3 linked regions of the Drosophila melanogaster genome follow. The protein of the gene in region 1 purifies or fractionates together with the protein of each later gene. This does not show direct contact. Each region holds a gene or a part of one and is shown in the gene's direction. Other genes may lie near its edges.

Region 1 (3,741 bases):
ACCAGGAGCTCCAAGAAGACGACGCCACTGCAGCAGCCCAAGAAAACGCCGCAGATGGCCGAAATAGCGCGGATGGATAAATTCATGAACTCGCGCAACGAAAGTAGACGATTCCCACCAACTTTAACCTACGATCTGGGCCATGACGAGCTTTTAAGCCAACTTACTTTCTCTTCGGCCATACAAAACGTAAACAAATGCAACAGGTGGTTATCGATAAAGTTCGGTTCGGGCACAGCTGATGTTGGTCTATCGAAAGTGGTTGAAATTCAAATATTCCAAGCGAAAAAGAAAAAATTTATGATTTTAAGAGAAGAATATTTTATTTAATGTACATTACATTCAAAACCAAACTTAAATATGTTGCCTAATCACATTCGAAATATTCGCACCAACAGTCTTTTACAACAATTACAAAATACAATGATGACAATGCTAAGAAAGAAATTACAGATTAGCAAATTAATGGTATATTACTTATTTTTCCTTTTCCAGCAAGGCAATAATTTTGTTTAACTTTTCCGTCTGCTGGGCCTCGAAGTTGTCCAGTCTCTTAGACACTAACAGCGTCAGCTTCTCAAATCTCATGTCGATGTGCTCCTTGAGGATTGCAACATCGGTGGAAGGCGGTGCAGTCTCTTGGGTTTGGTCCTTCGCCTGCGGGGAATAGCCCTTCATCAGGCTCATGAACTGCTCGAACTTTTCGGCCTGCTCCTCCTTCTTCAAGGGACTCGTGCCACCCCTTTGCAGCAGCTCTTGGATTCGCTGCGCATCCATTGGCCTGGGCAACTGGGTGGTTATGCCGTTGGGATTCGGCGCCACCTGGAGCAGGGCTCCGTAAACGCAGATCTCGCTGGCCGAGGTGAGCATCTTCAGGTTTATGTCATTTATCCCGGATCGGTCGATTTCCATGTCATAGCGATAGGGTCGCACCGCAACCTCTGGGTCCTCATCGTCGACGCAAGTGCCGTAGATGGTCTCGCAGTACTCCTGCAAGGGTCCAATGAACAGCTCCACCTTGGGAGCGCTGCAAATCAGGGTGAGCGCGGCGATTTTGAAGCGGTTCGGGATCTGGAAGCGCAGCTCACAAGGCGGCGGCGGATCCGCCGACTGCATGGAAAACAGCACGGCGCGATTCTCGTCGATCACGTCGTCCAAGTCGGGCCTGCGGACAAAGGAGGTTTCAAAATTACTTGATAAAAACCAGTTTCGGGGCGTGGAATCCTTTGTCTCACTTCACAAAGACGTCTTCGTCGGACAAGCGGGTGGCCACCAGTTGGTCCAGCCCGTTGCCCGACAGCTGGGGCCAAGTGCAGCGCGCGGTGACCTTTTCGCACATGCTTTAAGTGACAAAAAGTTGGAATTTATGGGAGCAAAATTTAAAAACAGCCAAATTTAAAAACCAAAACACGAATATAGTGATGACAAACGCGAGCGATAACATCTGCGCGGGGGATGCCAACCTGTTGCACAGCGCAAACTAATTGGACATTTGAAGGTAGCTTGACGCGCTATTCCAATAAGACCATACTCCGGAGTCCAATCAGAGAAGGCACCGCATCTGCGCACTACGTTTTTCCAACAGAACGGCAATATCGCGGCCTGACAGCTGCGACCTTGGACGGCTCCCTTGTAGGTCAAACTTCAGCAGAATTCCCACATATTGCAGTCGCAGCAAGGCGGCAGCTTAAGAACGAGTACACAATTATCCGCAGAGTGATCAACGCAGCTAAAATGGGCGGCAAGTACAAGATCGTGATGGTGCGCCACGGCGAGTCCGAGTGGAACCAGAAGAATCAGTTCTGCGGCTGGTACGACGCCAACCTCAGCGAAAAGGGTGAGTGATTACATCAATTTGAAATTTAAACCTCATATGTGGGATTAAAAATCTGATGTACATCTAGTTTCCAATCGATGATCCTTTGCTTTGATCAGTTTCACAATAGTATTCCTTTTCATTTACCCAAATTAATCTTCATTGACCTAGTGCAACATTATCTCATTCAAACTTTTCTGTGATAAAAATAGGTCTCTACAAACAAAAGCTTTCCAGTGCAATTTTCAGAAGCATCAAAATTCTAGTTTGTTACACTTTAAAGTCAAAAATTTGCCATCTCATATGTTTCTAAAGTTCAGATTATGCTTATGAGCATAATTTGATAGGTTATCGCCTTTTTTTAACCCTAGTAATCAAATTAAATTAAACGCATGCCTTTCAATTAGATTAAATTGGCTTACGTTCGTTACCCAACACGGCGTATACTTAATGTTCGCTAAACATTTGCCCAAACAGGTCAGGAGGAGGCCCTAGCCGCCGGCAAGGCCGTCAAGGATGCCGGCCTGGAGTTCGATGTGGCCCACACCTCGGTGCTGACCCGCGCCCAGGTGACGCTGGCCAGCATCCTGAAGGCCAGTGGCCACAAGGAGATCCCCATCCAGAAGACTTGGCGCCTGAACGAGCGCCACTACGGTGGACTCACTGGCCTGAACAAGGCCGAGACCGCCGCCAAGTACGGCGAGGCCCAGGTGCAGATCTGGCGTCGCAGCTTCGACACCCCGCCACCACCGATGGAGCCGGGCCATCCGTACTACGAGAACATCGTCAAGGATCCCCGCTACGCCGAGGGTCCCAAGCCCGAGGAGTTCCCCCAGTTCGAGTCCCTCAAGCTGACCATCGAACGCACACTGCCCTACTGGAACGACGTCATCATTCCCCAGATGAAGGAGGGCAAGCGCATCCTGATCGCTGCCCACGGCAACAGCCTCCGTGGCATCGTCAAGCATTTAGACAGTGAGCATGGGAGACATAACATATATCATATCATCTTTTTACCATATCCTTGTCCAATCCAGACCTTTCTGAGGACGCCATCATGGCCCTAAATCTGCCCACGGGCATTCCGTTCGTCTACGAGCTGGACGAGAACTTCAAGCCGGTGGTGTCCATGCAGTTCCTCGGCGACGAGGAGACCGTGAAGAAGGCCATCGAGGCTGTGGCCGCCCAGGGCAAGGCCAAGTAAGCACGCAGGCCACACCTCATGAGAATCCACTCAAATACGGCACAAGTCAGAGCATTCTGATTACGCTTCTGTTCAAGATGTAGCCAATCCCATTCGTTGTTGTTGTTCGCGTAGCAGTAATTGGTTCATCCCCACTACAGTTAATAAATAATTTATTATTACACTCAAGAGGACAGGCGGAGGAGGCTTCATTTATTGTCCGGCTCACTTCTTCTTATTCTTCTTGCCGTCCTTGGCCAATTCCAGGCCCAGGATGCACTTGGGCGGCACCTTGTACGTTTCCGTGAGCAGCGTGTGCACAAATCGCACCTGGTTGCCCTGGATTTGCAGCTGCTCGTGCTTTTGGTGCGGCAGTTTCACCACACTGGTGCTGGCGGCGGCTCCCTGCTTGCACAGCTTGATGAACTCGGCCAGGATGATGCCGTACGCCTCGATGTTGCTGACCAGCGTCACCTTCTTGTTGCCCGATCGCGTGGCCAGGGACATCTGGATGAGGGGCTTCCCGCTCGTATCTTTGCCGCTGCACATCTGGTAGGAGTGCTCCATCTTGCTGGTGATGAGGGAGCACATCTCGCTTAGCGAAACCTCTCTGTTACCATACAGCTCGATCAGAGTGTCGTCGGGGCGCACCAGCTTGGTCAGCGGATGGAGGAGACCATGTTTGCTCACGTACTCCCGCACAATCTTCTTGATCTGACCCGCCGGGATTCCCTCGCCGCGC
Region 2 (6,025 bases), 7.4 Mb from region 1:
ACACGTCGCCTGGCTAAGGAGCATATAATCGATAAAATTTATTTTAAAGATGGATCAGACTACCATGCCATAATCGATTCCGTGTTATGCATGGGAGTTCGGTATCTAAGCGATCAGGACTTCCAAAGGATAATTGATATGATGCAGGAAATAGATCGAGCTTCGGTATACTATGATGACATTATATATGCCCTCCGGTGCACGCAGAGTCATCGGCATCTGTTATACTATCTGGAAGGTCTGATGGGTGAAAACTCCACCCATATGGTCCTTTCCGAATTCGAAGATTTGATGTATCTCCTCTACATATACAAGTCGAATCTGGCCTCTCGTCCGGTCATCTGGCAGTATATCGAGCGCAACTACAAGGTGCTCTGTCGAGCACCAAACTTTTTAGAGCACTTTAAACAGCTCGCTGGATTTGTGCCCAGACATCAGAGATCACATGTAATGAGTTTATATCTATTTCATATCCTACTCGTTTTGTTCACACATATCTCTTTTCAGTTTGAGAGGCTACGCCAGACAATTGCGAACCACATGATGCAGGAGGGTCTTAATACGAACCAAACGCTGATCGAGGTCGATTCTCCGCTGGTGGGCAAAAAGATGAAAATCACCGAAAATTTCCAGGACAAGTTCGAGCAGCAGATCCACAAATGGCTGCTCAATGAGCTTCCTCAGGCGACCAGCAGAAGTGATGCCCTTTTGTCCGCCTCCCTCAGCGCGGCCAATGGGTCAAGTCGTCCTCAAGGAGTCCTAAAGGAGGCGACTAGGGTGTTGCGCAGTGCGTTACGAATAGTAGATATGTATAGGTGACCAGACATTTGGTCTAACTAGGTATCACATAAGTACAGGCTTAATTACGAATAAATTAATTTTTTTCAAAACAAAACAATCGAGTCAATTCATTCAACAGCCAAGAGCTTTTCAACACATTCTAAATTAACTACAGACGTTATCGATTTGTCTGAAACGCCTCCGTGGGGAATTGATAAGCAAGTATAAAACACAAAAGTCATCGATAATAAAAACCCGATCAAATGACTATAACTTTTTTACGCAAAGACTAGTAATTATTTCTGGGTATTTCTGGCCATTAAAAAGCAATTTGAAAAATTTATAACAATTTTGGACATTCAATAAGTCGTATAAAAATATACAAAACTGAACAAAGCCATTACTTAAGTTTGTTAGTTTTTGTACAATGATTACTGAATATTAAAGCATACAAATTTGATATATTTAAAATGTAGCACCTCGTAAAATTAATTGATACTTATTAGCGTTTTTCACGAGTATTTATGACTGTTTTGATTATAGCACTATAACAACTTGCATTTTTTCGTACTTTCAAATACTTAGTCGTCCCAGACGAAGCCATAATTCAAAAATTTACTGCTCCTAATGATGAAACTAATAATAGGAATTTGATTAACAAAAAAGTAATGTTATCCTGCTTTATTTTGATAAGCGTTACGCTACTGAATAATTAAAATGTTACCGAGGGGATTTTTTACACTATAGAGTACCATCTTCAAAACTCTCGTAGACTAATTGTTTTACAGCCCAATCATACTTCACATTTGACTTGTCCCAGTGCACTCTGGGCCAATAACCGTGGCTTTGCCACGTTTTATCGAGAATTGCGCAACAATCTTTATGGCGATCGATGTTGAGGATTAGATATGGCCAAGTCCATAAAAATGCCGTGTTCAAGCGGCGGCCGCTCAATAACAAAGTGTCTTTTACCGAGCAGCCAACATGGCACGGTGGCTGCTTAACTCGTTTTCGCTGATCCTGCTCCTGGCAGTGTGCAGCCTACAGGCGCGCCTGATCCTTCCCTTATCCCTGGACGATGGACAGCTGGAGACCAAGGGAGCAGCCCTCTTTGCCACCTCCCGCGTGGATGATAATAGTGCCGGCAATTACCGACTGCCAAATACAACGGAACCGGAGTCCTACAACGTGGAACTCTGGACCAATGTCCATAATGGCGATACCGAATTCAATGGCACCGTCAATATCGATATCCGGGTTTTGAACGAGACATCGAATATTACGCTTCACTATCGCCAGACGTCGAATTTTGAAGCGACGATTATCAGCCGGGATGTGGCCACGCCCACGGCAATTCCACTCACTGTAACCCCCGAGTTGCAGCGCGAATTCCTCGTCCTTACGCAGACCACCGCTGGTGAGGCATTTGGAGCCAACACCAACTGGACCATCACCATCAACTACACTGGCATCCACCGATCTGATATGGGCGGTTTCTATATCTCCAGTTATACGGACGATGATGGCGAACAGCAGTAAGTTGATATTTTACGAAGACTATACAAAATAATACCATTATTTTATTATGAGCTTGCACAGCCTTTACCCTTTTACCTTTATAGAAAATTATACTTAGGTTAGCCTTCTAATGGATGAGGGAATAAATTGCAAAAGTACAAAAGCTTATCGTGCTATTAATTACAATTGTACCTGATTGAGTACTTGCGGCTAGTTTCATTTCTTATCAAGAGACACAATTTGGCTTATCTTTATAATCTGTTATTAGTACGATGATACGCGCTTACCAAATAAAGATTAATTATCGGTTTAACTGAGTCGTTAATGTATATAACAATTTCTTTCAGCTTCTTGGCCACCACGCAATTCGAGAGCACAAACGCCCGTCACGCGTTTCCCTGTTACGATGAGCCTGCCCGTAGAGCTAACTTTACGATTACCATCCACCATGATCCCTCCTACACTGCCATCAGCAATATGCCAGTAAACACCGCTGCCACCAGGTATGATTTACGAATATATATACAAGCATAGAGGAAACATTACTCATTCGCAGTGTTGACAATGCTAGATACAATTGCAATCGATACTTTTCATGTAAGAAATGCTAACATACTGACGGTTTCGCCTTCCAGCTCGGGAGTCACTGCTTTCCAGACGACGCCAAAGATGTCCACCTACCTGGTGGCCTTCATCGTCTCCGATTTTGAGTCCACCACCGGAGAACTGAATGGCATCCGCCAGCGGGTTTTCTCGCGCAAGGGAAAGCAGGATCAGCAGGAATGGGCCCTTTGGTCCGGATTGCTTGTGGAGTCCAGTCTGGCTAGCTACTTTGGGGTTCCCTTCGCCCTGCCCAAGCTAGATCAAGCTGGAATACCGGACTTCTCTGCCGGTGCCATGGAGAACTGGGGTCTGGCCACCTATCGTGAGCAGTACATGTGGTGGAACAAGCAGAACTCCACGATCAACCTGAAGACGAACATTGCCAATATTATTGGACACGAGTACGCGCACATGTGGTTCGGCGATTTGGTATCTATCAAATGGTGGACCTATCTGTGGCTCAAGGAGGGCTTTGCTACTCTCTTCTCGTACGAATCGAACGACATTGCTTTCCCACTGTGGGACACCTATCAGATCTTCCACGTGAACGACTACAACAGCGCTCTGCTTAACGACGCCCTGGCCTCGGCCGTTCCCATGACGCACTACGTTCAGACACCATCGGAGATCTCCAACAGGTATAACACCTTCTCGTACGCCAAGCCCGCCAGTGTTCTGTACATGTTCAAGAACGCTTGGACGGACAAGGTATTCCGCACTGGATTGAACAAATACCTGACCAAGAAGTGAGTACCAAGCCATTACTTAAATGACCTAATATATGAACTTCTAATGTATAGAGTATAGAATTTTGATTAATCAAAAGATCTAAAATATTTCAAGAACTTAAAAAGCTAACTTTATGATATACTCGTATATACTGGGCTTAAGAGCCCTCATTTTAATTTGAACAGTAATCTCACATTGGAATTATTTTGTTTCGCTCAGCCAATATACATCTTGCGACGAATGGGATCTATTTGCGTCCTTCCAGGAATCGGCCGACGAGCTGGGCTTTACGCTGCCCGCCAGTGTGGACGACATCTTCAGTAGCTGGTCCCACCAGGCTGGTTATCCCCTGCTCACAGTGACCCGTAATTACAATGCCGGCACTATAACGATCACCCAGAAGCGTTATGTGGCGAACAAAACTGATACAAATAGCGCAACTTGGTATGTGCCACTTAACTTTGCCACTGCCAACAAGTACGATTATCGTGACACGAGCGCCACACATTACTTGCTAAATGTGACGGAGACCGTGATCTCAGATGTCGAGGCTTCCAGCGATGACTGGATAATCGTGAATATCCAGAACTCCGGCTATTACCGCACCCTGTACGATACGCAGAACTATGGTCTAATTACGGCAGCTCTGAAGTCTCAGCCCTGGAGGTTCCATCCTCGTAACAGGGCACAACTGCTGTACGATACGTACATCTTTGTCAGCACCGATCGCCTGAGCCACAGCATCCTGCTGGAGCTGCTGGGTTACCTGACTAATGAGCAGCAGTATGCTCCTTGGTCCACTGCCAACACTATTCTGACCGTCTACGATCGTTACTTGCGTGGCGATGATTCTTACTACAACTTCCAAGATTTCGTGAAGCGCCTGATCGATCCCATCTTCGATAAAATCGGTGTAAACGAGATTCCCGGCGAGCATTATCTGAACAACTATCTGCGCATCGTGCTGGTCAGCTTGGCCTGCCAGGTGGGATCCGATGATTGCTATAACCAGTCGGCCAATAAATTATCCGAGTACCTATACAATGGCACAGCCATTGAGGCCACTCTAAAGACTCAAGCCTACTGTGCTGGTCTCCGATCGACTACCAATGAAATCTATAGCAGAGTGCAGTCCGATTTGCTCAGTTCCTCAGATTCCACCGATCGCAGCCTGTTCATCTCCTCGTTGGGCTGCTCTGGAAGTACGAGCCAGCTGCTTGATTTCTTGAGACTATCCCTGGACACCAACAATAGCTTGAGCTACTCGGAGCGCACTTCCCTTCTAAACTCGGCCTATTCCCGCAGTGAAATCGGTCTTACCGCTAGTTTGGAATTCCTGGAGAGCAACTGGGAGGCATATGCCAACCTTTCAGACTCTGCAAAGCCCCTGGATGCTGCCCTGCGTGGCATTGCCACCTATGTGGTCAGTGAGAAGCAAAAGACGAGGGTACGTTTTTTTTTTTTAATTTATAATTCAAAGCAGACTTTTAATTTACTATTTATTAATTATATGACAGCTTAACGCTTTGGTGGATGTTGTGGAGGCTGATGGACCGAGTTATATCAATGATGATCTGAGCACCACCATTGACTCCAGAATCACATCCAACTTCGCTTGGTTGGAAGTTAATCGTGATCCAGTGCTCAACTGGATCGAGGATTCCTTAAAAGAGAACGGCAGTCCCTCTCTGACCTCATCCATCACCACGATCCTGGTCAGTGCGATGGCTCTGTTGCTATTCAGGCTATATTAAGATAACTCACGTGGTCAAGTATTAAACATAAATTCAGTAAAGTGACGTAAATCAACAATAAAGATTGTGTGCTCATCATAGATCGAAAATAGAACTGATTATACTGTGGAATTTTCGGGCTGAATGGAGTCCCCTGGTGAGAAAAGTTCAAAGTTCCGCGGTTGGGAAACTTAACTGATCGGTTTATAGCTTGGTTGACACACATTTGCATTGGTCAATCTAATCGCGATTCTAGGAATGGCATCGATAAAGCACTGATAGTTGAGCTTAGTACGAAATTCGATTATCAAGTGGATATTTACAATGGCCTGAATGGTTTATGAAGTTCACGTGATCATATCAGATTGTGATTGGCAACTTTCAAGAACAATAAGCCATTTTATGGTTTTCAGTTTCTTAATCAATTTCAATGGTTTTACCATTTATTAGAAGATGTCTAGCTGTTGCATAGTATCGCACATATTGCTTAGTAATTCCGTATGGATTAATGGGCCTTTTCTTATCTCAAGAGCGAACTTGAACAGTCTATTATACCATAATAGTTAACAGGCGTGTATATTTCGCTATCATATCAGCACATATGATAAGTACACGAGAACTTCAGTTTCAATTATTATTGTTCAAGATCTTGTTTCGTATAG
Region 3 (3,271 bases), on another chromosome or scaffold:
CAATAAAATGGCTAAAATGGCAACACTAATCAGGGCGGAGGTTAAAAAGCATATATAGGGAGGGGGCTGGCTAAACTACCAAACGGAAAATCACATTAAAATTAAATTCAACATAAAAATCGAACGAAATCGCACATGCAAACGGGTTTGGCTCATTTACGATATTATATTTTTTTCCATCCACGCAACGGGTTTGCGGCGGGTGAACTACTTTGGGACACCTTTTTGTGGTCTCTTCAATCTGGCTTATTAGCGTCGGACTCAAGGGGAATGGAGGGAGGGAGGGGGGGGGGGGGGGTTTGTGCCGCACAAAGCCCAAAAAAAAGGGGGAAAAAAACTAAGGGGGTTCCACTAATTAACATTCAATTTAACACATTATACACCGGAGCAACCATTTTTCTTGTTTCAACCGCAGAAATGGGCCGGCGCACAAAAAGAGATCCATTTGGCCTCGTTCGAGACACTCGCCCAGATTGATGGCCCCCACAGAACGTCGTGTTTCGAAAAACGGAGCCCCACTCGCACTTTCTAAAAACCCATAAACACACAAAACCCATCAGTGGAGACCGACAGAAGATGGCCTTGAGAACAGACGCCGGCCGCCAGAGTTACGAGTTCCCCAGCGGTCTTTACATAATAAGTAACAACTTTTACTTGCTGCCACATCTCGAGCGTCTTTCCACTGTCCGTGAACTTGAAATGCAGCACAGCCAGAAATTTACAATTCAATAAATTTTTAGCAAGACCTTTGCAATTTTTGAATTAATATTCAAATCCATCAAACGTATTGATTCTCTTGCAACATTGTAGCATAGAAACATAAAGAGTAATTTTTTAAGATTATCTATGTATCATATTCGCAAGGTGGGTAACCTATTGACGATTTATAGCCCGTTCACATATGATTCGCCTGTGATTCGCCTGTGTCAATAATTAAAATCCATTTTTATATCGATTTCATTTATGATCACGTTGATGAATTATCTTCAAGTGTAAAAAAGGCAGGAAATGTCAAGCATGACGATGCCAAGCAAAATGTGATGGAAATTTCAGAGTTCATTGGTGATAACTTAACTTAACCATGGCCATTCTGAGAACTGCAAACAGTTATCCTTTTCAACAAGAGGTAATTAATGTTGGAAAATAGTAATTAATATTTATATATTAAGTACATTCATATTTCAACTTATAAATAAAATAAAGTTTCGATCTGGAATTGTTAGTATTAATTTTTTAACTTAAAACATACATTTTCCGAAAAAAGAAAATATACACAATAAAAACTATATTTCATAAAAATGATAAAAAAACATGCATAGTTAAAAGTTAATATTTATATGTTTATGTTTAATGCAAAATTGATTACTTGAGGCACGACGTGCGGTCATCTGCACCTAAGAATCGATGTCGACAATATCTACTCTAGATATTTATATATTCGAGTCTAGAGTTCCCATCTGCAAGGACATGACAAAGCTCTGGCAACCCTTTTAGCACGTGTCAAAAACTCAAAAAAAAAAGACGATGACTTTGCAGTCTAAAAGTCACATTTCTGATTTGGCGTGAGGACCTCAGTTGATTCACATCTCCAAGCGAATATTACTTAATATTATATTAATTAATATATTAATTTGTAAAGCACAGCATTTTCAAGGTGAGCATTTCAAGAGAATTCTTTTCCACGCACTTTACCCATACAAGTTAATAGGTTTTCCTAACGAAACAATGGATTTCAAGAAGCTGAAGAAAATGGAGGAGGTGGTGCGCATCGGCGGCAAAGGATCTATGCGCCGCAAGCATAAGAGATTCCCATCCTCGGCTGCGGCCGAGAAGCGCGTGCAAGCCACATTGGCCATGTTGCCGTTGAAGAATATCGACGAAATCGAGGAGGTGACCATCGAGTTCACCAATTCCAGTAAGGTTGTGTTAACCATGCCCAGGGTTCAGAGCACCGCTGGCAATTCTTTCTTCGTGGTTAGTGGCGATTTCGTGCGCAAGTCGTCAACAGCTGGCCCATCGAAAGTGGCCAAGGCAGCCAATGCGCCCAAGGCACCCATGCCACCTAAGCCACCCAAGCCGGAAGCTTTTTCCGACAAAAAGCCAGAATCAGAGGAGTCCATTAAGGTGGCCAAGAAGCCCAAGAAGCCGCGCAATCGTGTTCGTCCTCGCAACAAGAAGGTCCAAATGATGCTCTCCAAAAACAAAGAGGACGCAGCCATGGCTGGCTGGGATTCGGAGCCGAAGCTTAGCAATGGTAAACCAATTTTGATCTCCTCTGAAGATGGCAGCGATCCGGATAATGAGAAGGTGCCATCGGATGAGTCTGATGTGGATCGGACCATAGTCTGCGACAAAGATTCGCTGGGAAGCTTCGGCGATGATTCCGACGGCAAGGAGGACGTTGACACTACGGAGTCGATCTACCTGTCCTCCTACTCCAATTACTATTATTTGACGGAGCAGCTCTATCCAAATACTTATCGCGTTCAGGTCTCAGAGGACGAAGATTAGGCATATTCATTTGTTGCTACATTTGTACCAATTTCAAAAATAAATCGTATGAATTGAGAAAGTTGAGACAGAAAAAGGTTCCATATTCTATAGATTTGTACTTTAATCTCTTGGTGTTTATTGAAAGCATTGGTTTTCTCTACACTTATGGAAATTTTAATGATCTATAGTTCCAAAATAAAAAAAAGTTATAAATTTAAGATTATATTAGACTCTGTGGCTCTCAGTTATTTGTCTTAGTAAATATAGCCGCCGTTCGACGCGTACTGGGTCTCCTGGACGGATTTGGAGTAGCTGGCCTGCAAATGGGCAGGAGTAATGGTGTCGGCACCAATGGCCACGGGCACATGGGTATCGGGATTGAACTCCTCGATGCCATTCGATGTGGGTTCCTCGTACAGATGGGCAGGTGTGATCGTGTTCGCTCCAATGACGACTGGGGTTTGTCCCTGGACATAGGCGGCGATGGGTTGGGCGCTCTGGTAGGAACTGCTAGACGATCCGGCCACGATTGTCTTGGCCTGGCTATTAACGTAGCTCGTCTGGGAAACGGCGGATTGATAGGAACTGGAATCTGCCCCAGAAATAGCAGAGGCAGCGGTTGAGGCTACAACCGACTTTTTGAGTTGAGCTGGAGTGTATTCAGCGGGCTGGTAAGAGCTCGAATCTCCTCCGGGAACAGCCGCTCCCTGCTCTTGCTCTTGCTCCTGAATGTACTTGTAGTGGGCCTCTTGAACGTCCTGGGGAATGAACTTTTCAG

Evidence for each region. Proteins that work in one complex are often made in the same cells at the same time.
Region 2: the proteins of Pglym78 (region 1) and CG31343 purify together in Drosophila melanogaster (affinity purification with mass spectrometry, with the first as the bait; one large-scale study listed by BioGRID). This does not show direct contact.
Region 3: the proteins of Pglym78 (region 1) and betaNACtes1 purify together in Drosophila melanogaster (affinity purification with mass spectrometry, with the first as the bait; one large-scale study listed by BioGRID). This does not show direct contact.

What each region holds. Positions count from the first base shown.
Region 1 is NT_033777.3:29,146,716-29,150,456, forward strand, and holds Pglym78 (phosphoglyceromutase 78), read left to right. Parts: upstream 1-1,532; 5' UTR 1,533-1,734; coding exon 1,735-1,837; intron 1,838-2,293; coding exon 2,294-2,791; intron 2,792-2,853; coding exon 2,854-3,020; 3' UTR 3,021-3,186; downstream 3,187-3,741. Other genes in the region: CG14511 (uncharacterized protein), read right to left, coding at 1-86; CG11882 (uncharacterized protein), read right to left, coding at 478-1,165, 1,236-1,339; eIF2D (eukaryotic translation initiation factor 2D), read right to left, coding at 3,225-3,741.
Region 2 is NT_033777.3:21,743,541-21,749,565, forward strand, and holds CG31343 (uncharacterized protein), read left to right. Parts: upstream 1-1,725; 5' UTR 1,726-1,764; coding exon 1,765-2,315; intron 2,316-2,645; coding exon 2,646-2,801; intron 2,802-2,933; coding exon 2,934-3,647; intron 3,648-3,849; coding exon 3,850-5,077; intron 5,078-5,147; coding exon 5,148-5,384; 3' UTR 5,385-5,463; downstream 5,464-6,025. Other genes in the region: CG5849 (uncharacterized protein), read left to right, coding at 1-447, 508-819.
Region 3 is NC_004354.4:14,170,925-14,174,195, reverse strand, and holds betaNACtes1 (Nascent-associated complex beta-subunit-like, testis 1), read left to right. Parts: upstream 1-1,571; 5' UTR 1,572-1,654; intron 1,655-1,708; 5' UTR 1,709-1,725; coding exon 1,726-2,511; 3' UTR 2,512-2,709; downstream 2,710-3,271. Other genes in the region: CG12480 (uncharacterized protein), read right to left, coding at 2,748-3,271.